Linked DNA regions of Oryctolagus cuniculus. The protein of the gene in region 1 interacts with the protein of each later gene in a pairwise test. Links are inferred from orthologs where the notes say so. Each region holds a gene or a part of one and is shown on either strand. Other genes may lie near its edges.

Region 1 (10,540 bases):
TTCATAAAAGGGAATTTAGATTGGTCAGTTTGAAACTGAAAAGTACAGTGACTGGAAAGAGGACAGTTACTTCTTCAGCGATGTTTTACGTATTCACTCCCTGACAGGATATTCAATATATTTAATAACTGCTCAAAAACAGGCACTAATCAACCAGAACACATAATCGCTGCTGTTGCCACTAGTGCCCAGGCTCTTGTCAAAATACCTGGATGAAGTTTCATGTATATGGCTAATTTGATACCTAGGCGCTTCTCAAGAGATAGATAATTGAGAAAGAGATCTTATAACTCGGAAAAGTGCATTCGCAGTACTCCAGAAGTCAGGCAGTTTAACTAGTAGGCTTTCTGCTAAAACAAGCATTTGTGGTTTAGCAAGTGAAATCGCATCTCTTGCCCCTGAAAACTGCTCAGTTTGGCTTGTCATCATTTGCCCAGGCTGTTTAATTACCATGGATGTCCAGTCTTGGAAAAGGTTGACTCCTGATTCCAGCTTCCAACTGATCAGACCCTGGGAAGCTGCAGGGATGGCTCAATTAATTGAGTTCCTGCCACCTGCATGGGACATCTGGACTGAGTTGCCAGCTCCCAGCTTCAGACTAGACCAGCCCCCTGGACACTGCAGGCACTTGAGGAGTAAAACAGTGGTTGAGAGCTCTTTCTCTCCCTCTCTCACACTTTCTCCCTGTTTCTCTGTCTCTCAAATTTTTAAAGCAACGATTTTCATACAATCTGTTGATATTCAAAAATAATATATTCTGAAATTTTGGTATCTTCCTTAATCCCAGCTATTCCCATCAAATGAATATTTAAACAAAGGTATATTATAAACCACCTAGTGCCAGATCTTATTTTGGGCATATTTCCTGAGTAAGTGGCATAGAAAATCTCCATTAAGCAGTGTTCTGACTTTAGAAACCCAGGAGCCCTTCCAAAAATGATTTAAATTGTTTCCTTCGAGTAGCATTAGTAACTAGGAAAATGATATGTCAGAAAGAAGCATGCGGTTCTTGTCATGAGAATATATTAATCTTGACAGTATGATTAACCAAGACAACATTGCTTGACAAATGTCAACATCAAGAACTTTGAGTGAGTCATTATCTAAAAGTAAAGACTGAATTGCACAAATTATAGCTAACGTATTTGAAGAACATTCTTTTGTATCATGTTCTTATCAAGAAGTTTTTGTTTTTTAAAGATTTATTTGAAAAGCAGAATTACAAAGAGAGAGGGAGAGATCTTCCATCTTCCGGTTCACTCCCCAAATGGGCACATGGCTGGGGCTGAGCCAAACCAAAGCCAGGAGCCTGGAACTCCATCTGGATTTCCCACGTGGGTGCAGGCACTTGGGCCATCATCCTCCACTGCTTTCCCAGGCACACTAGCAGGGAGCTGGATTGGAAGTAGAGTAGCTGGGACTCAAACTGGTGCCAATATGGAATGCTGGCATTCCAGGTGGTGGCTTAACCTGCTATGCCACAACACCAGCCCCAAGAAGTTTTCAAGTGATACCCATAGTTAGTATTAGGGAATGCCTCTGTTGCAGGTACCTGGCCTTTTATAAGATTAAGAAACAGCTGTCCTGGGGCCAGCACTGTGGCATAGCGGGTTAAGGCTCCAGCCTGCAGTGCCGGCACCCCATATGGATGCCAGTTCGAGTCTAGCTGCTCCTCTTCTGATCCAGTTTTCTGCTATGGCCTGGGAAAGCAATAGAGGATGGGCCAAGTCCTTGGGGCCCTGCACCTGGGTGGGAGACCTGAAAGAAGCTCCTGGCTCCTGGCTTTGGATCAGCTCAGTTCTGGCCATTATGGTCATTTGAGGAGTGAAGCAGCGGAATGGAAGACCCACCACCCCCCACCCCGCCGCCTCTCCTTCTCTCTCTGTGTAACTCTGACTTTCAAAAGAAAGAAAGAGAGAGAGAGAGAGAGAAAGGAAGAAAGGAAGAAAGAAACAGCTGTCCTCACAAAAACTTGGAGCATTTCTTTGTTATATATAGAGTTAAATCATTATTTGGAATTCTGAACTCTCATCACTAAGTAATGGGTAACTTTACTAAGAATAATAATTCAGATGAATCCAGGGTTTTCTGAGAGCATTTAGTACATAAAACTCTTCTCATCACTCATCAGCACAGATGCCTACATTGTCTAATGTATATCCAACATTTCTTAAAATGCATCTGTGTATTAATGGTAAATAAAATGAGAGATTGTATTAGTTAAGTGTAAAATAGGCATGTGTTCATCTGCCTATTACTATTATTTTTAAATATTTATTTGACAGAGTGACACAGAGATCTTCCATCTGTTGGTTCATTCCCCAAATGGCCCCAGGGAAGCCAGAAGCCCAGAACTCCATCCAGATTCTCCCCTGTTGGGTGGGTGGCAGGGACCCAAGCACTTGGGCCATCATCCATTGACTTCCCAGGCACAATAGCAGGAAACTAAATGGGAAGCAGACCAGCAAATACTCAAGCTGGCACTCACATGTGGGATGCCAGTGTCATAAGCTGTGGCTAGCTGTGCCATACTGCCAGCCTCCCACCTGATTATTTTTAAGTTAACTTATTCATTCCTAAAACATTCAAATAATGAAATTAATAAATTAATATTTCTTATTACTGAGGCATAATAAAGGATTTGTGATTTTTTTCCCACCCAACTAGCATAAAAACAAAGTTTTCCATTGAATTTATTAGCAGATAGAATTAGAATCTGCTGTTCCTGAACTCCTAAGTGGTTGCCTAGAAGTAGAATAATTATTTACTTATTTTTAAGACTTACTTATTTGAAAGGCAGAGTCACAGAGAGGCAGAGGCAGAGAGAGAGAGAGAGAGAGGTCTTTCATCTGCTGGGTCACTTCCCAAATGGCCGCAACACCTAGAGCTGGGCCAATATGAAGCCAGGAGCCAGGAGCTTCTTCAGGGTCTCTTGTAAGGGTTCAGGGACCCAAACACTTGCTTTCCCAGGCCATAGCGAAGAGCTGGATCAGAAAAGGAGCTGCTGGGACTCAAACTAGCACCCACATGGGATGCCAACACTGCAGGTGGCAGATTGACCCGCTATACCACAGCACCAGCCCCCCAGCTAATTACTTTATAAAATAGTTTTGCTTTCCACATTTGGATTGTCCTTTACCTAGCAGCAAATGTTCACGTTAAGAACTCTGTGGAGTTTTTCTGGTCCTCTGTCACACTACATACTTTATAGGAGAACCAATGCCAACTTACTACTGAAGTTGCTTTCAAAAAATATTTTAAAATGGATATTTGTTTTCTTTTCTGATTACAGAAAGTGTACCAACAGAGTGTTCATCTACAACCCCAAAAAAGGCGACTGGAAAGACCTGGCTCCGATGAAAACCCCGCGTTCCATGTTTGGAGTGGCGGTCCACAAAGGCAAGATCGTGGTCGCAGGGGGTGTCACTGAGGATGGTCTTTCAGCTGCAGTGGAAGCTTTTGACCTCACAACCAATAAGTGAGTTGCTGAATCTCACAGTCACTGTGCATTTCAGTTGTTACCTGATAAAAATTAAGCTTTCAGTTAGCATGTGGCAGGGCTAGGGGCAGGGAGTCATCAATTTAAGGGGAGTATTTTCATGAGGGTTTCTTCTGTGGCAACTGAGAGTAAAACTCCTAACATTTGGATGCACCGAGTGTGACCCTCAAGTTGATGCTGGCATGCCTTGCTCGTCCTTACTTGTGTTAACTGTGTGAATGGAGTCATGCTAAGGTAACACTTCTGAATAACTGTGTTCATGTAGATGGATATACATGTCTCTGTGGAGTTATTCAATTGGAAATATGTAGTTTCATTAAAGATGAGAATATCTTATTAATGACTGATATTAAGTATGAATGCTTCAGAAGTTTGGTTTCTTTATGTTTTTTAGATGTTTTTTAAAGCTTGTTTTTTAAGCTTTTAGCAACACTATGAAAAATACTTGGTATTCTTATATAAAATTAATTTTTTCAGAATCTTTGTGCCCACACATCTAGATGAGTATATACTTTCATAGTTTAGCAATAAGTTAAAAATCAGAGTACTGTTACTAGTTTTTTTAGAAACTATGTATGTCTGACTACAAAATAATAACTGAAAGTCACAAGCAACTTTTATGTAATAGAACCTAAAAGAGCACTAAAACATATTTTAAGACTGTATATTAGTTAAGCACTCATAATATAAAAAGTTAAAGAAGCAGCACAAAATTGTAAATCCTCTGTTCCTAGAGTTCTTCATATGTTTGGATACCTATATCCTTTTTTTTTTAATAAAAAGACAAGCTATACCAAAATGTTACTTATGATTATATCTGGAAACTATGATAATGAGGGTATTTGTTTTCTTCTATAACTTTCTGTACTTCCTAGATTTTTATAGTGTATATGTATTATTTTTATGGTTAATAAAAATAGGTTTAAAGAAAAACTATGAGGTTTTTAGTTCTTTAGAACTATAGTTCTGGGGTAATGCAGTGGAGAGCTACCACATGACTAACTCATTCCCAGTTCTTGAAACTTCCAGCCAATGTGGTTGATTTTATCTTCAGTTGTCCTATTTCAGATGGCTGTTAACATTAAAAAGTTCTCCTAAAACCTTTATATTGTAAAGTACAAGTCATTAAAAGTAAATTTACCATCTCCATCCGTAGCTTCAAAACTATCTTTATCATATACCTTTATTGCAAAGGATTGGAGAGTTCTTGAGAAAAGCTTGAAATTAAGAGTTTTTAAATGTTTGTATTAGTATTCAAATGTGGGCCACAGAACCCCACTGTTTATGACAAATAGTTTGGCAACCACTGCTGAAGGTGCTAAATCATGAAATATTCTAAGTGTGATCTATTGAAAGCTTTCTATTTAATATGATTATTACATCTTTCAAATTTAAGGAATTTTAAAATATTTTCTAGTTGTAAACTTCTACTTTTAGATGCTTATGCTACTTGAATTTTTAAAGTATTTCCTGTTCAGTAAATACATTTAATATGTTAAGTTTTACATTCACTATATTTTCAATAATACCCAGATGGGAAGTAATGACTGAATTTCCCCAAGAAAGAAGCTCCATCAGTTTGGTCAGCCTGGCTGGATCTCTGTATGCCATCGGTGGTTTTGCTATGATTCAACTGGAATCTAAAGAGTTTGCACCCACTGAAGTCAATGACATATGGAAGTAAGTTCTCTTCACTCTCATTTTCAGAACCAGATATTAAATCAGATAAATGAAAATTGAGCAATAATTCTGTAGCAAATAATAAGCCAGACTTTTCCAATATGCAGGCTACTTCTTGGTTATAGACCAGACACTTCAAATATAATTGTACCTGCCACATACTTCATCAAGTACTGCTTACAATTAGCTGTGAGCTTGGGAAAGAACTTATGTGGACCTATTTCTTAGTCAGTAAAACGACAGTTGGCTCTATTCCAGCTCTATTCCAGCTCTCAATGGACAACACTCTAGATATCCAGTAGAGTGAAGGCAACTTACCTTTCTTTCCCTTTTTATTTTTTCTTAAAGATTGTATTTCATTTGTTTGAAAGAGAGTGGTAGAGACAGAAAGAGAGAGAGGTCTTCCATCGGCTGCTTCACTCCCCCAAAAGGCTGCAGCAGCTGGGCAGAGCCAGGAGCTTTTTCTGGGTCTCCCACGTGGGTGCAGGGGCCCAAGGACTTGGGCTGTCTTTCCTGCCCTCCTAGGTGCACCAGAAAGTGGAGCAGCTGGGACCCCAACTGAGGTCCATATGCAGGGCAGGGCTTTAACCCGCTGCACCACAGCGCCAGCCCCAGGTTGCTTATCTTTCCACCAGAGTAGTTTATTTCCTAAGAAAACAGAATTGTGGTCGGCCGGCGCCGCGGCTCACTAGGCTAATCCTCCGCCTTGCGGCACCAGCACACCGGGTTCTAGTCCCGGTCGGGGAGCCGGATTCTGTCCCGGTTGCCCCTCTTCCAGGCCAGCTCTCTGCTGTGCCCAGGGAGTGCAGTGGAGGATGGCCCAAGTGCTTGGGCCCTGCACCCCATGGGAGACCAGGAAAAGTACCTGGCTCCTGCCATCGGATCAGCGCGGTGCGCCGGCCGTGGCGGCCATTGGAGGGTGAACCAACGGCAAAGGAAGACCTTTCTCTCTCTCTCTCTCACTGTCCACTCTGCCTGTCAAAAAAAAAAAAAAAAAAAAAGCAGAATTGTGAAAAAACATTTAACCTCTTTTTAAAGATCTCCATGAAATCATTAATTCTATTTGGAATTTAATTTAAATAGTCTTTCAGTTGTTTGAAGATTTGGTTAACAAAAGCTTTTTTTTTCAATTTTTATTTAATAAATATAAATTTCCAAAGTACAGCTTCTGAATTATAGCTGCTTTTCCCCCCATAACCTCCCTCCTACCCGCAACCATCCCATCTCCCACTCCCTCTCCCATCCCATTCTTCATCAAGATTCATTTTCAATTATCTTTATATACAGAAGATCCACTTAGTATATACTAAGTAAAGATTTCAACAGACTGCACCCACAAAGATACACGAAGTAGAGAGTACTGTTTGAGTAGTAGTTTTACCATTAATTCGCATAGTACAACACATTAAGGACAGAAGTCCTTCATGGGGAGCAGGTGCATAGTGACTCCCGTTGTTGATTTAACAGTTGACACTCTTATTCATTTATTTATTTATTTGACAGAGTTAGAGAGAGAGAGAAATGTCTTCCTTTCATTGGTTCACTCCCCAAATGGCCACTATGGTCAGCGCTGTGCCTATCCGAAGCCAGGAGCCAGGTGCTTCTTCCTGGTCTCCCATGTGGGCACAGGAGCCCAAGCACTTGGGCCATCCTCCACTGCCCTCCTGGGCCACAGTAGAGAGCTGGACTGGAAGAGGAGCAACCGTGACTAGAACCTGGTGCCCATATGGGATGCCGGCGCCGGATTAACCAAGTGAGCCACGGCACCGGCCCCTGACACTCTTATTTATGATGTCAGTAATCACCCAAGGCTCTTGTCATGAGCTGCCAAGGCTATGGAAGCCTAACAAAAGCTTTTTAAATAGAAAAAAGTGAAAGTAGCAATCCATTTTACCTCCCATATAGGCAGTTCTCCCAAGTATGACCATTGCAATTTTTGCTTGGGCCTAAAAACAGGAATGTTTTAAGGGGATCGTGAGGCCTGTTTTAGTGTCTAATGCAATGAATGTTCTATAGAAACCAGAGTGTATCCAGGACATCTCAGGAGCTTGTGCTGTTGAGTCACATAGTCAGAGGCAGAGTGTTTGGTGGGTAGATGCTTGCTCAACATCAAGAGACCAAACATGCTTGCCCATTACCCCTTCTGCCTCAGCCCATGCCCTGTGCTTGCTTATCTGAGTTTACAGGAGGTAGATCCTAGGTATCTTAGGTGAACATTGCAAGGCTGGCAGCCTTTACCTGGTCTCTCATCAGATTGTCCAGAGCCTCACTACTTACAATGTCCTGTTGTCTGTAGAAGAGCAGTGTTGTCATCTGAGAGCTTCTCAGGAGTGCAGAATCCTAGCCCCACCAGAACCTGCATTTTAGCAAGATTCCCAAGTGATGTTGCATATTTAAGTTTATAGGTACAGCTTTGAAAGAGTACCCTTTATGCCTGACCAGTGAAGGCATACCACTAAGGCTGGAGTGAAACATGGATTTTTTTTTTTCCTATATCTGAACCAGCAGATGTCTTATCCTTAGCTACTAAAATGAAAGGCTGCCTGTCACTGCCTGTGACACCAGTATCCCCTGTGGGCTCTGGTTCCTGTCTTTTTTTTTTTTTTTTTGACAGGCAGAATGGACAGTGAGAGAGAGAGAGACAGAGAGAAAGGTCTTCCTTTTGCCATTGGTTCACCCTCCAATGGCCGCCGTGGCTGGCGTGCTGCAGCCGGCGCACCGTGCTGATCCAATGGCAGGAGCCAGGTACTTATCCTGGTTTCCCATGGGGTGCAGGGCCCAAGCACCTGGGCCATCCTCCACTGCACTCCCTGGCCACAGCAGAAAGCTGCTCCATTTCTGATCCAGCTCTCTGCTAATCTGCCTGCAAAAAGCAATGGAAGATGACCTAAGTATTTGGGCTCCTGCCACCCATGTGGGAGACCCGGATGAAGCTCCTGGCTCCTGGTTTAGGCCTGGGCCAGTGAACCAGCAGATAGAGGATCTCTCTCTCTCTCTCTCTGTCTCTCTGTCTCTAACTCTGACTTTCAAATTAATAAATAAATATTTTTAAAAGTTTATTTTTAAATTTTCATTTTATCTGAAAGGCAGAGAGAAAGAGACAGAAAGACAGACAGCTTCCATCAGCTTGTTAGTCTACATGCCTTTGATTTGGCCAGTTCGAAGCCAGGAGCCAGGAATTCAATCCAGATGTCCCACATGGGTGGATAGGACCCAAGAACTTGAGCCAGCCACCTGCTGCCTCCCAGCTAATCAATTAACAGGAAGCTGAATCAGAAGTGGAGGAGTAGCTGGCGCTGTGGCACAGTAGGTTAAGACCCCAGCCTGCAATGCCAGCATCCCATATAGGCACCAGTTCAAGTCCCGGCTGCTCCACTTCTGATCCAGTTCCCTGCTAATATGCCTGAGAAAGCAGCAGAGGATAGCCCAAGTCCTTTGGCCCCTGTACCCACGTGGGAGACCCATAAGAAGATCCTGGCTTTGAATTGGCTCAGCTCTGGCCATTGCAGCCATTTGGGGATTGAACCAGTGGATGGAAGACCTCTCTCTGTCTCTACTTCTCCATGTAACTCTGTTTTCTTCTTTAAAAAAGAAGAAGAAGAAGTGGAGGAGCCAGGACTTGAACCAGGCACTCCAATACAGGATGCTGGTGTCCTAAGTGGCAGCCTAGCCACTGTGCCAAGTGCCCACCCTGCTTAGGATGCTTAAAATGTATCAGTTCCTAGGCCTTAACACAGACCAATTACATCAGTTTCTGGAGGTAGGGCCTGAGCATCCCTAGTTACTAAAATCTTCACTGATGATTTTAATGTACAGCCAAGGTGGCGTATTAGTGATGTTAACGAATGATGCTGTCAATCAGCCGAGCCTCATTTGAGCCACCCTGGTTCCTAAAGGTAGACAAAAGCCACACAGCCCTGGCAGGAGGAAGCCGTGGGCAGCAGAGGAAAGTAGAGCATCTTCTGCTAGTTGCCCTTACATCTCTGAGAGGAAGCTTTCTGGTTGTTATCAGGACAGTAGTTCCCAAACTTGCCTGCACATTGCAGTCACAGGGAGCTTCAAAAAGTACCACCACCTCCGTCCCACCCTTACTGTGTTTTAATTGGTTCGGGATATGGTCAGGGTTTGGGAAGTTTTAGAAGATTCTCAGATGATTCCATGTGTGCAGACAAGTTTGGAAACCACTAGAGGAGCCAGTGCTGTGGCATAGCAGGTAAAGCAGCCACCTGCAGTGCTGGCATCCCATATGGGCTCCGGTTCGAGTCCCAGCTGCTCCACTTCCAATCCAGCTCTCTGCTATGGCCTAGGAAAGCAGTAGAAGATGGCCCAAGTCCTCATGCCCCTGCACCCTCGTGGGAGACCTGGAGGAAGCTCCTGGCTCCTGGCTTTGGATCAGCACAGCTCCAGCCATTGTGGGCATCTGGGGAGTGACCCAGTGGATGGAAGACCTCTCTCTCTCTCTCTCTCTCTCTGCCTGTCTTTCTCTCTCTGACTTTCAAACAAATAAAATAAAATCTTTAAAAAAAGAAACCACTAGAAAGGGAAGAGAGGGCATTTATCTGCTTGGCTATAAAGTTTGACATTTAGATACTGGTATTTTCTAATCTGGTATAATATCTGGAGCAATTGATTCTCACATTTTGCTGTGTATTAAGTCTCAGCTGGAAAGCTTTCAAAAATCCTCGTGCCCAGGCCACCCTCCAACCTGATTAAGTCAGTCTCTAGGGGTGGGGTCCGGGCATCAGAATTTTTTAAACATCGGATTTGAGAACCAGTGATGTGCCGCTGTGATTCCATATGCAACATCAGCATCACTTAGGTACTTGTTAGAAATATAAATTCTCAGACCTCACTTGAATTAGAAACTCTGGGTGTGGGGCCCAGCAACTGTTTTAACAAGCCTTCCAGGTGACCCGGATGTGCCCTAAAGTTGACAGCCACTGATCTAGAGAAAGGCGGCTACTCACTTGCCCTTGACTTCCTAGTGAACCTCTATATCCGTACACGCAAGGAAATGAAAGCTCAGTACATCTTATTCTAAATCTATATACTCTACTACTGTGATGTGTAAAAAACATTTACATTCTCACATTTTTTTCGTTGAAATTACTCCATTATTTAGGATTGACCAAGCTGAACATAAAAACATGACTGAGGAAACAAACATTGTTTTTCTTTAAAGATTTATTTATTTATTTGAAAGGCAGAGTTACAGAGAGGCAGAGGCAGAGGCAGAGAGAGAGAGAAAGAGAGAGAAAGGTCTTCCATCCTTTGGTCCACTCCCCAAGTGACTGCAACAGCCGGAGCTAAGCGGATCCAAAGCCAGGATCCAGGAGCTTCCTCTGGGTCTCCCACACAGGT
Region 2 (9,424 bases), on another chromosome or scaffold:
TGCCCCACAGGGGAAGGGTCCCGCCAGCTCCTGGATGCCAAAGTCAAGCTGATTGCAAACACTTTGTGCAACTCGCGTCGACTCTACGACCACATGATTGATGACAGCATGATTTGTGCAGGAAACCTTCAGAAACCTGGACAAGACACCTGCCAGGTCAGAGGCTCCTAATGGTACTTGGAGAAGGAGAGGCTGGCAGTCCTCGGGCACAGAGGCTGTTGGGAGCCCTGGGCGGAGATAGGGCTGTAGCAGTCCACATCAGTATGGATGGTTCAACTTGGTAACCACAGTGGTCCTGGTGCCTGCATTGTTCACTCGAATTCCCCCAACCCTCTGGTGTGTGTGTGGAGGGCATCATTAGCCCCATTTTACAGATGTTTTCAGAGGTTGTCTTGGCCTGGATGCTAAGTGGCAGGGCTAGAATTTGGACAACCCAGGTCTGCAGGATGCCACAGCCTTTGCTACTGTGCTCCACGATATTTAAATGTGAAGATGGCACAGCTGGCCTCAGTGTTGGGCAGCAGGTCTGAAATAGCCCAACGAATGCCCTAAAGGCCATTGGCTGGAAGGAGAAAGATGTGAGGCCTAGAGATTTTGCAATGATATTAACTACTCATGAGGATTTAAACGAGAGAGACAGATACAGGTTTCACCTTAGCACGCTAAGTGGCTCTGCGGCCATAGCCAGCCTAGGGCCTGCCTGACGCTCCTCCCAGTCTCGACTTTGGGAACCCCAAGCTGCTGAGGCCTGCGGTGTGTGAGAAGCTGCTGGGGAGGGAGGAGGTGGCAGCTCCACACTGGTGCCAAGGGGACCTCAGGCGGTGTCCCAGTGCACTCCCCAGAGTCCCTGCCTCTGCCAGGGTGTCATCACACAGCATACGTCCGTCCCAGATGCCCAGAAACACCTCGATTTACAATTTTCTGCTGATTGTCCTCACAAACCACCCAACTACCCTGGAAAACCCAACAGGGCCACATTTGGGTCCTAGATCCTTGATGGAGTCTCTCTACAAAGGGATCCAAACATTACTTGCCCACCTTGAGTTCACTTTGGGTTGGGAAATGGAAATGACTGCTCCAGGGTTTGTGTCTCTGCTGTGAGCCCTTCCCTCTCCCAGGGACCACAGATATGCACATATGCAGAGAACCATAGGCAGATGGGTGCTACTTGCCCTAAGCCCCTGGGAGATGAGTCAGAGATTGTTCAAGAAAAGAAATAATTGCTGCCGGCTCTGGTAACAGCCATGGGTTTGCAACTTGGTTCTGTCCCCTATTGTGTGGCCTTAGCAGTCACCAAATTCTCTGATCTCAGATGCCTAATCTGTAAAATGGTGCTAACATGTCCATCAAATCATCCTAAGGTTGTGGCTAAGATGCCAAGAGGGAATTCATTTGAAAAACACCTGTTAGTGGTGGTGCTTAAGTGGTAGTGGATGTTTGGGAGCCTAAGAGCTGCTGACACCCTCATTGTCCTTCTCAGAATCCTCACGACAGCCCTGGGACACAGTTAGCAGTGTGACAACCTGAGGCCCAAGGCTGGCAGGCACCAGAGCCTGGCTCAGAGCCCAGGACATCTAACCACGTGGACCACGGTGAATGCCCTGACCAGGGTGCCCCCTGAGTCCCCATCCTCCTCCCCTGTGTGTGCCCAGGGCTGTATCCAAACAGGGCCCCAGAAGGAGCAAGTCCAGAGCCCCTGAGAGCTCACAGCAGTGACACCCTGAAGGGAGCCAGCACTGCGGTGCGCCGGGGTAAGCACAGCCTGCAATGCGGGCGTTGTGCATGCTCCACTTCCGATCCAGCTCCCTGCTAACGTTCAGGGGAAAGCAGTGGAAGACGGCTCAAGTGCTTGGGCCCCTGCCAGCCATGTGGGAAACCGGGGTGGCATTCCAGCCTCCTGGCTCCAGCATGGCCCAGCCCAGGCCATGGCGGCCATTTGGGGAGTGAACCAGAGGATGGACAATCTCCTATTTCTCTCCCTCTCCCTGTCCCTCTCCCTGTCCCTGTCCCTCCCCTCTCTTTCAAAGAAACAAAGTAAGTATTTTAAAAAAAAAACCCTCCTGTGACTAAGAGTCAGGAATTAGAGTTTGCCCATGGCACGGTGGCTACAGCCCTTGGCTCCTGTGCCAAGCCTCCCAGGCTCAGGGACAAAGGACACTGCTCACTTAGAGAGTGAGTTTCACGGCACCGGAAGCCTGGGGAGAGCCTGCTTTCCAGAGCAGCCCGCCACAGCTGGCAGCCGACACCGCCCCCTCAGCCCCGGCACCCTCTCTGCGGTCGTGGGGGTGTCTGAATGTACTGTGGCCCCGAGGCTGACCTCACGCCCCTTCCTCCCCTAGGGTGACTCTGGAGGTCCTCTGACCTGTGAGAAGAATGGCACCTACTACATCTCCGGCATAGTGAGCTGGGGCCTGGAATGTGGGAAGAAACCAGGGGTCTACACCCAAGTCACCAGGTTCCTGAGTTGGATCAAAGCCACCATCCAAAGGGAGGCTGCCGTCTAAGCTGCCGTCCTCTGAAGCACCTCAGACAACACGGGCTCCTGGGCAGCCACAGGCACCCCGTGGCCTCCACGCAGCGAGTGTTCATGTTCTATGCAGAGACAACCACTGCCCAGCCTGGGCCTTCCTGGCCCAGCCTTTGCACCATTTCATCTGGCTCTTTCTGATCTCTCAAAGCATGATGGAACCCACACGAGATAGCTTAGGTTTGCTTCACTTTCAACAGTTGTTCTTCCTAGAAAATCAGCGTTCAGAGGCTGTCTCCACCTGACACCTGCCAGCAAGGGACTGCAGACTGCCCAGCCTTGGGGGGAGTCGCCCTGGCCTCTTTATTCCTCATCCTGGACCGACCAGCCAGGTACTAGAGAGAGGAGCAATAATACGACATAGCCCCGTTGCTTTCACAGTTGTTTTAATAAACCCAGGACCAGGGAAAGCAGGTGCTCCATTGTTCCAGCTCGTCCACTTGGGGCCATCTAAAGTCTGGATCTTCAGATGCAAGTTCGCTCTTCCGGCTTCTCTCTTAAGAACTGGCGTGGACACCACTCGCTCACAACAGCAGAGCCTTCTTCCTTTTGACGTGCAGGATCTCAGTGGCATCTGGGTTCACCTGCCCCCTGGGATCATCTCCAGACTCCATGGCCTCTGGCCCTCCCTGCAGAAATCAAACACACAGCCCGGAGTTACCACGCAGCTCCCGTCCTGTTTCCACAGGAGATGGTAAGATAGCCCAGGAGCATGGGACTCATTCGTCTCCACACCCTCTCCCCTCCTCCATCCTTCCCAGGAAAAAGGATCCTCAAGGCAAGAATGAAAAAGAAGCAAAGTCAATCTCATTTAGATGCGGTGTCTTTTTGGGAAAAATAAAAGCATTTGAAATGCAGACTGTTGTAGCCAGCAAGTCTCTGACCCTTTCCACAAATGCAGCAAGCCAGCAGTCAGCACAGCCTGGGCTGCCCTGGCCCGGGATTGATGTCACCCCAGTAGGTTTGCCTCTGCAGAACTAATGGCTGGGACTTCAGAGAAAACCCTGCGGGAAGTTTAACCCACGTGTCATCCGCCTGGTCATCTCAGACCCGTGAAATTAGGCGCCTTGCTCCAGCTGCATTTTACACTTCTTTAGAGAGGCTGATCTTTGGCCAAAAATAAACTTTGAAAAGAAACAATGAGTTTGTCTTTCCCCCAGGGTCTCGCCACACTCACATAAGCCCCCTGGAGACCCCGGCTCCTTGCGTTGGCCAGTTCTGCAGCCCGCCGAGCCATTTCCACTTTGTAGGAGCCAGGAGGAGTCCAGCCAACACCTCTGGTCAGATTCAAGTCCGATTTATACTTGACCTTGGGGGAAGGAGAGAAGCAAGAATATGTCAGCAGGGTTTGGGGTGGTTTGACCACTGAGTGGACAGGGTTAGAAAAGCCACCACAAGATGGGGAATATATTGTTGTTAGTAAAGCTAGGGCAGTGGGAACAAATCCATCTCATGCAGTAGCTCCCTGGCACCAAGGGCCCAGTGTGCCACAAGTGGAGCCAGCCTTTCGCTGCCCCTTTCAAGTGATGGGAGCTCAGTGGTGCAGGGTTGGGGGTGGGGAACAGCTGGGTCAACTCTGAGCGCCTACTTTGATTTACTCCGTGGCCTTAGGGGAACCACTTCTCTTTTGTGGGATGCAGTTTCTTCCCACGGAAAGTGCAGGGCTGGGTTAGGTAACTACTAAGGACCCTTGGAAACACAGCACAGCTGGGGCTCTCCCAGCAAACCAAATGGCATTTACATCCTAGGTCTGCCACTTCTTTGCTGGGGGATATTAAGTTAACCCCTCTGAGCCTCAGGTTCCTGATCTGTAAAATGGGGCCATAGTGGGGTTATTGTGAAGGCTACAGGACAGGATGCTTGGGAAGCACTTGGCACAAAGCCTGACTTCCCAGCAGAAATTCAAGAAATGGAGGTGATTGTTACTATTCCTCTGGGTCGGTAGTGTTAAGGGCCTTGGGTCCTATCTTGGCCCAACTCCCCAGAGCACAGGGCCTTGTCCTAGGAAGAGGCACGAGGGGAGAGGCCTCAGCGGGGCCGGCGAAGGCTGCTCACATCACTTTGCAGCCGGTGGGCTTTCTGTGCGTGCTTCAGGCCCAGCTGCTCCGGGTCACTTGTGGGCTGGGGCAGGGGCTGTCTGTACTGCACGTCGCTGGCCAGTTGCTGGCTCCTCTTGGCATGCAGAAACCCTGGCTGGTCTGCACGGCTGTGGAACTGGGACCGACTCTGGACAAAGTCCTTCTTGTACTCATTGTCACTCTGAAGTCTGCCCACGGTGAGGAAATGCTTCATCCTTGGGTCATCACTGATGCTGCGGTACCCAATCTGCAGGCCCCGGTCCCGCAGGAAGGCCTCCTTGTACCGGAACTGCAAGGTCAGAGGAGCAGAGAGGGGTCGCTAGGGCCCATGTCTTCCCCCCTCCACAGGCCAGCCTCCCCTCCCCGAGGGGGTCGTCCTATGGGACACACAGTAGGGAGCTCAATGGTGGATTAGAGGCACACATTTTGGATCTGGGTAGAACCAAAGTTGTGACGTGGGTCAGTTATTGAGTCTCTCTGAGTCTCAGTTTCCCCATCTTAAAGATGGGGTAATGAATTTCGACCCCATGGGATATTAAAAGGATTTAATGAGATGGGGCTGAGCTTCGTGCTGGCCACTGGCTCACGCCCACTGAGTGGCAGCTACTGGCGTTGATGCTGCTGCAGTTAAAACTCCAAAGGAAGAGAAGTGTGCCCGTTCTTCCTCTGATCCTTTCCAGCTTTTAACCTCTGGTCAGGTTCAAGTCCGATCTTGTTTGGGACCTAGACCAGTGCTCTTCAAATCATCTGTAGTAAAGAACTTGTGTTTGGATTTTTAAATTTCCAACCTATCAAAGAGCAATATGTGGTCCTACTATGTGTGTTTGGTAACACCCCAAACTGGCCTTTATCTTATTCAACAAAATGATCACATACTTGAATATCTCAATGTCCAAAGACTAAACGCCTTTCTGAATGCAGGCTCTGTTTCTGTACTCATCTCCCCATGGGCCAGCCAGGAACCATTCATGGGTGAGCGTGGGAAGGTGTGAAGAGCATTTGCCCAGTAGGTGACACCCCCTTCTTCAGCAATAATGGCTGCCTCTTCTAAACACCTGCCATGAGCCAGACCCTGTAAACCATTTGTTCCCATTCCTCCATCAACCCTAGACCACAAATACTCAATCTCTATTTCATAGATATAGAAATCTGAGCTCAGAGAATGTAAACAACTTCCCCAAGACAAACAGCTAATTCCTAAGTGGCCAAGCTAGAACTCAAGTCAAACTAGGGGGAAAGCCCAATATCTTTCTACATCATCCCACTGCAGTTCAGCTAAAGGAAGCCCATTTACTGCATCCTGGCAAACCAATCATTGACCTGGTTCATTGCCCTGGTTCCAGGTGCTCCACATCACTTTAAGAGGACCTCTGTGAAGACAGAGGGAGTAGGGATACAACTCTCCCCAACCCCAAATTGCTGGCAAAGATCCTAGAAAATAAGCCTTATTTTTTCTTTCCTTTGAAATACACATTCAGTTCTGGAGTGGAGGGAGAGATAATTTTGATAGGCCCTGGTGGTTTGCCTCTCCACAGATCTGGGAAACCCCCAGTGAATCCTATCAGTGATGGGGGGCGGGGGGCAAGGTCTTACGTCGCTGGCAATCTCCCTGGATGCCCGGGCAGTCTGGAACGGGATGGCATCCAGCCTGAAGTCATAGCCACTGGCCCGGATCTGCTCCCAAGAGTTTCTGTAGGCTTTCTGGAAGGGGAAAACAGAACCGGAGTGAGCACGGAGCACCTCCACTGCTTGCACATTGCTGGTTCCTAAATAGTCCTCTTGGCCTTGTTAGGCCCCGGGATGATGGAGCCCACGGCCCCACGTCTATCCGGGGGCCTCCCAGCTCTGAGACTGCTGGGACTGGCCAAGCAGGGCTTCCTCTCTTTAGAGGCATGCGGTCTGGGGGGTCTGGCTCATTTGCCGCACTCTGTGGGTCTCGGAGGTCCCTGACCCACTCCTTCCTGTCTTGGCGCTCACGGTTGGAGCCTCGGGTTTGCAGCTTCTAGACGCCAGACTCAAAGTTTCAGAACCCAGTTTCTTCCTCTGTGCTGAACGTGCTGTTCCTTAGGTCTTGACAGCCATGCATTTGTTAGCTCCACTGACTTCCTGGGGGCCCCTTGGCCTGGCTTTGATGCCATGTCCCACATCGTCACTCTGAGGCCTGCTGCATCTCACATACACCCCTGGTGCCTGCACGAAGGGAAGAGCCTTCGCCTGAATTACATTTATTGTCAAGCACCTGACCGAGTACCTGACCCATGTGTTTCATATCTTCCTCTTTCATTTTTCCCCCTTTTCAAGTTGTTCCCACACACCCTCTGGGAGTCTGTAATCATATCCTCTCAGTCCTCAGGTAGGCCCACATCACCGAGAGAGGCGTCAAAATCTTCTGTAGCTAATTTTTTTTTTCAAGATAAGGGAATGGCTCCATGAAAGGACTCCTCCGGCGATCCCAGTGGAGGGCTCTCCTTTATTCAGCCACAGAGAAGGGAGACAGCAGGGGAGACACATCACCAACAGATGACAAAGTGACAGCCCCAGACCGCGGCGGTCGCTCGCTCGTTCCATGAGCTACAGCGGGTCAGGAGGCCCTTAAGAACTTTACTTTTGTCACCTGGAAATGGAGGTCAAGGCTGGCGCTCTGTTCCACATGGGGTTGGGGGGATTAAGCCAAGGAGGAGTGGCAGATGAAAAGCAAAGTGCCTCACCCCATCCCGCACCGGGCCTGGAACCAGGGGGACCATGAAGAGCCTGGGTCACGCGTGATGGAACTCGTTTCTTTCTGCCACGGCTCACCATCACCTGCACCTTCACCATCGCCTGCAGCTCCAAGGCGCAGCCCCACAAACCAAAAGCTAAATCCCTACCATGTTCAAGGCCCTGGAAATACAGAACCAATCGCCGCTGGGGTGATCACTTAACAGACAGATCCCCAACAGAGCCAGAATGATGGACTTATGGGGGCACTGTTGAGTTTAGCAGCTGGGACTGAAAGATCTGTAGAAGGAAGGGGATATTCGGGGAGAGACGAAGCACCGATCCCTTTCAGCCTCACTTTGTTTGGGTGGTCCCACCAACATTAGTGCAGCCAACAGAGTCAAAAACTCATTGCTCTCTCCAAGGCCCACACGAGATCTGAGTGCAATCAACGACACCAAACTTGGTGACACCCAACTCAAACAGCACCCCGCGTCGGTGTCCAAGGTACCCCAGCTTCCAAGTCTATGTGACTCAGGATCCACTGGAGCGTGGGGCCCACATTGGGGTTCTCCCCAGGGCGTTGGCTCGCTTTCTCCTGAGACTTCTCCCTGTATACTATTTGCTTGATTGTGATCACTTCCTCCCTGAGGTTTTGTATTCTGTTGAGGTTTTTGCCTTGCCACTGGGAGTCTTTAGATTCCGTCGACTCTTTGATTCGGAACCCCGGGCGCTCCTCTTCTTTATCACAGTGGGCACAGTTTTGTCCTCATCCTCACACATTAGAGTCATTTGATTCTGAGTTATTTCGGCTGCCTTACGCATCTCAGTGGCTTTCTTTGCCCAGGAAGGTCACTTTGCCTCCACATCTTCCTCACAGAGCACTTGATCCAATTGTGCGTATTCCACACGCCCCCCGAAGAAGTCCTCTTCAAAAGAGGTTCATGAGTTCTCATACCTGGATGGCCCGGCAGCTAATTTCAGCTCTGGGACTCTGCAAACTGGCATCCCCTGTGAGAGGCAAGACGCTTCTGTCGCCAGCCCGGGTGGCTGCCCTCCTGACGTTGGGCTCCCGATGGACTGGCTGCCTTATCCCAGTTTCCACAGCCCTGGGCCTCCAGTAGCTCCTCACCTGGAGGCCTCACCGTCCCCCATCCTCGGAGCATTAATGAGATGGATGTTTTGTGCCAGCTCGCCCAAGGGGGAGGTCCTGCTTCCCCAGATGGAGGTCAGCCCACCAGAGCTGCTGTTCTAAAATTATCCCTCGCACGTCCCTCAAAAACATCAAATGGTCATAATAACTCATATTTACAAAGCACCATTGCATTCACTGCGTGGGATCCCACAGGGCTTTACAAATGCAACAAACTAATACACACGCTAACTAGAAGGCGCCTCTCGCCAACCCCTGCGAGGCAGCCACCTCTGGGGTGAATGGTAGCAGCTGTTGATCTGCACGGAGCCCCAGGACACAATGGCCAGGCCAGGGAGGGAAGAATGGCCGGGCTCTGGGAGGCCCCGTGCTGCCCCAGGCCGACACACGCAGGCTGTGTTATTCTGATCTGACAGTACCTTTTGATTCCGCCGCCTCTCTACCTGTTATCCGCGGATCACAGCTTTGCTGGCCGAGCGGCCGCCTATTCTATTACAACTGGGGGCCTCCGACCCCTGCCAACAACAAGCCTGGGCTTAGGAGGCCGCGTCTTGGTTATGCATGCAAAGGGCACACGTCCAAGGGAAACTGAAGTGTTGGAGGGCACAGTCCCTCGCACAAAGGAGCCAGCTGCATTTGCACAGGACGAACCACGACGGCAGTGTCTTTGCAGATGCAGGGTGAGACAGTGCCACCCCTGCTCTGCAGCCACACTCTGCTGTATGGCAGAAGGGAGTCCAGGAAACCAATGGCACAGGTGTCAGGTCCAGGGGACCACTCCCGGGCCAGAACCCAGCACACAACTGAGGTCTTTGGTGCCATGCCCAGAATTTTAGCACCGGAAGGAACCTTGGTCAAGCTGAGCCTCATTCCCATTTTACAAGTGACGGTCCCAAAGCCCAGCGAGGAAAGTGACCGAAAGCCACAGATAGTCTCAGTCCAGTATCCTCTCTGCTCCAAGTCACCCCT

Evidence for each region.
Region 2: the proteins of KLHL41 (region 1) and NRAP interact in binary tests that used the Homo sapiens proteins (3 or more experiments, as listed by UniProt). The link is inferred for Oryctolagus cuniculus from reciprocal best matches to the Homo sapiens genes KLHL41 and NRAP.

What each region holds. Positions count from the first base shown.
Region 1 is NC_091434.1:71,562,136-71,572,675, reverse strand, and holds part of KLHL41 (kelch-like protein 41), read left to right. Parts: intron 1-3,292; coding exon 3,293-3,478; intron 3,479-5,032; coding exon 5,033-5,179; intron 5,180-10,540. UniProt on the Homo sapiens protein: Involved in skeletal muscle development and differentiation. Regulates proliferation and differentiation of myoblasts and plays a role in myofibril assembly by promoting lateral fusion of adjacent thin fibrils into mature, wide myofibrils.
Region 2 is NC_091446.1:16,677,461-16,686,884, reverse strand, and holds the end of NRAP (nebulin-related-anchoring protein), read right to left. Parts: intron 6,307-9,424; coding exon 6,199-6,306; intron 4,895-6,198; coding exon 4,583-4,894; intron 3,837-4,582; coding exon 3,705-3,836; intron 3,157-3,704; coding exon 3,052-3,156; 3' UTR 2,897-3,051; downstream 1-2,896. Other genes in the region: HABP2 (hyaluronan-binding protein 2), read left to right, coding at 11-156, 2,340-2,504. UniProt on the Homo sapiens protein: May be involved in anchoring the terminal actin filaments in the myofibril to the membrane and in transmitting tension from the myofibrils to the extracellular matrix.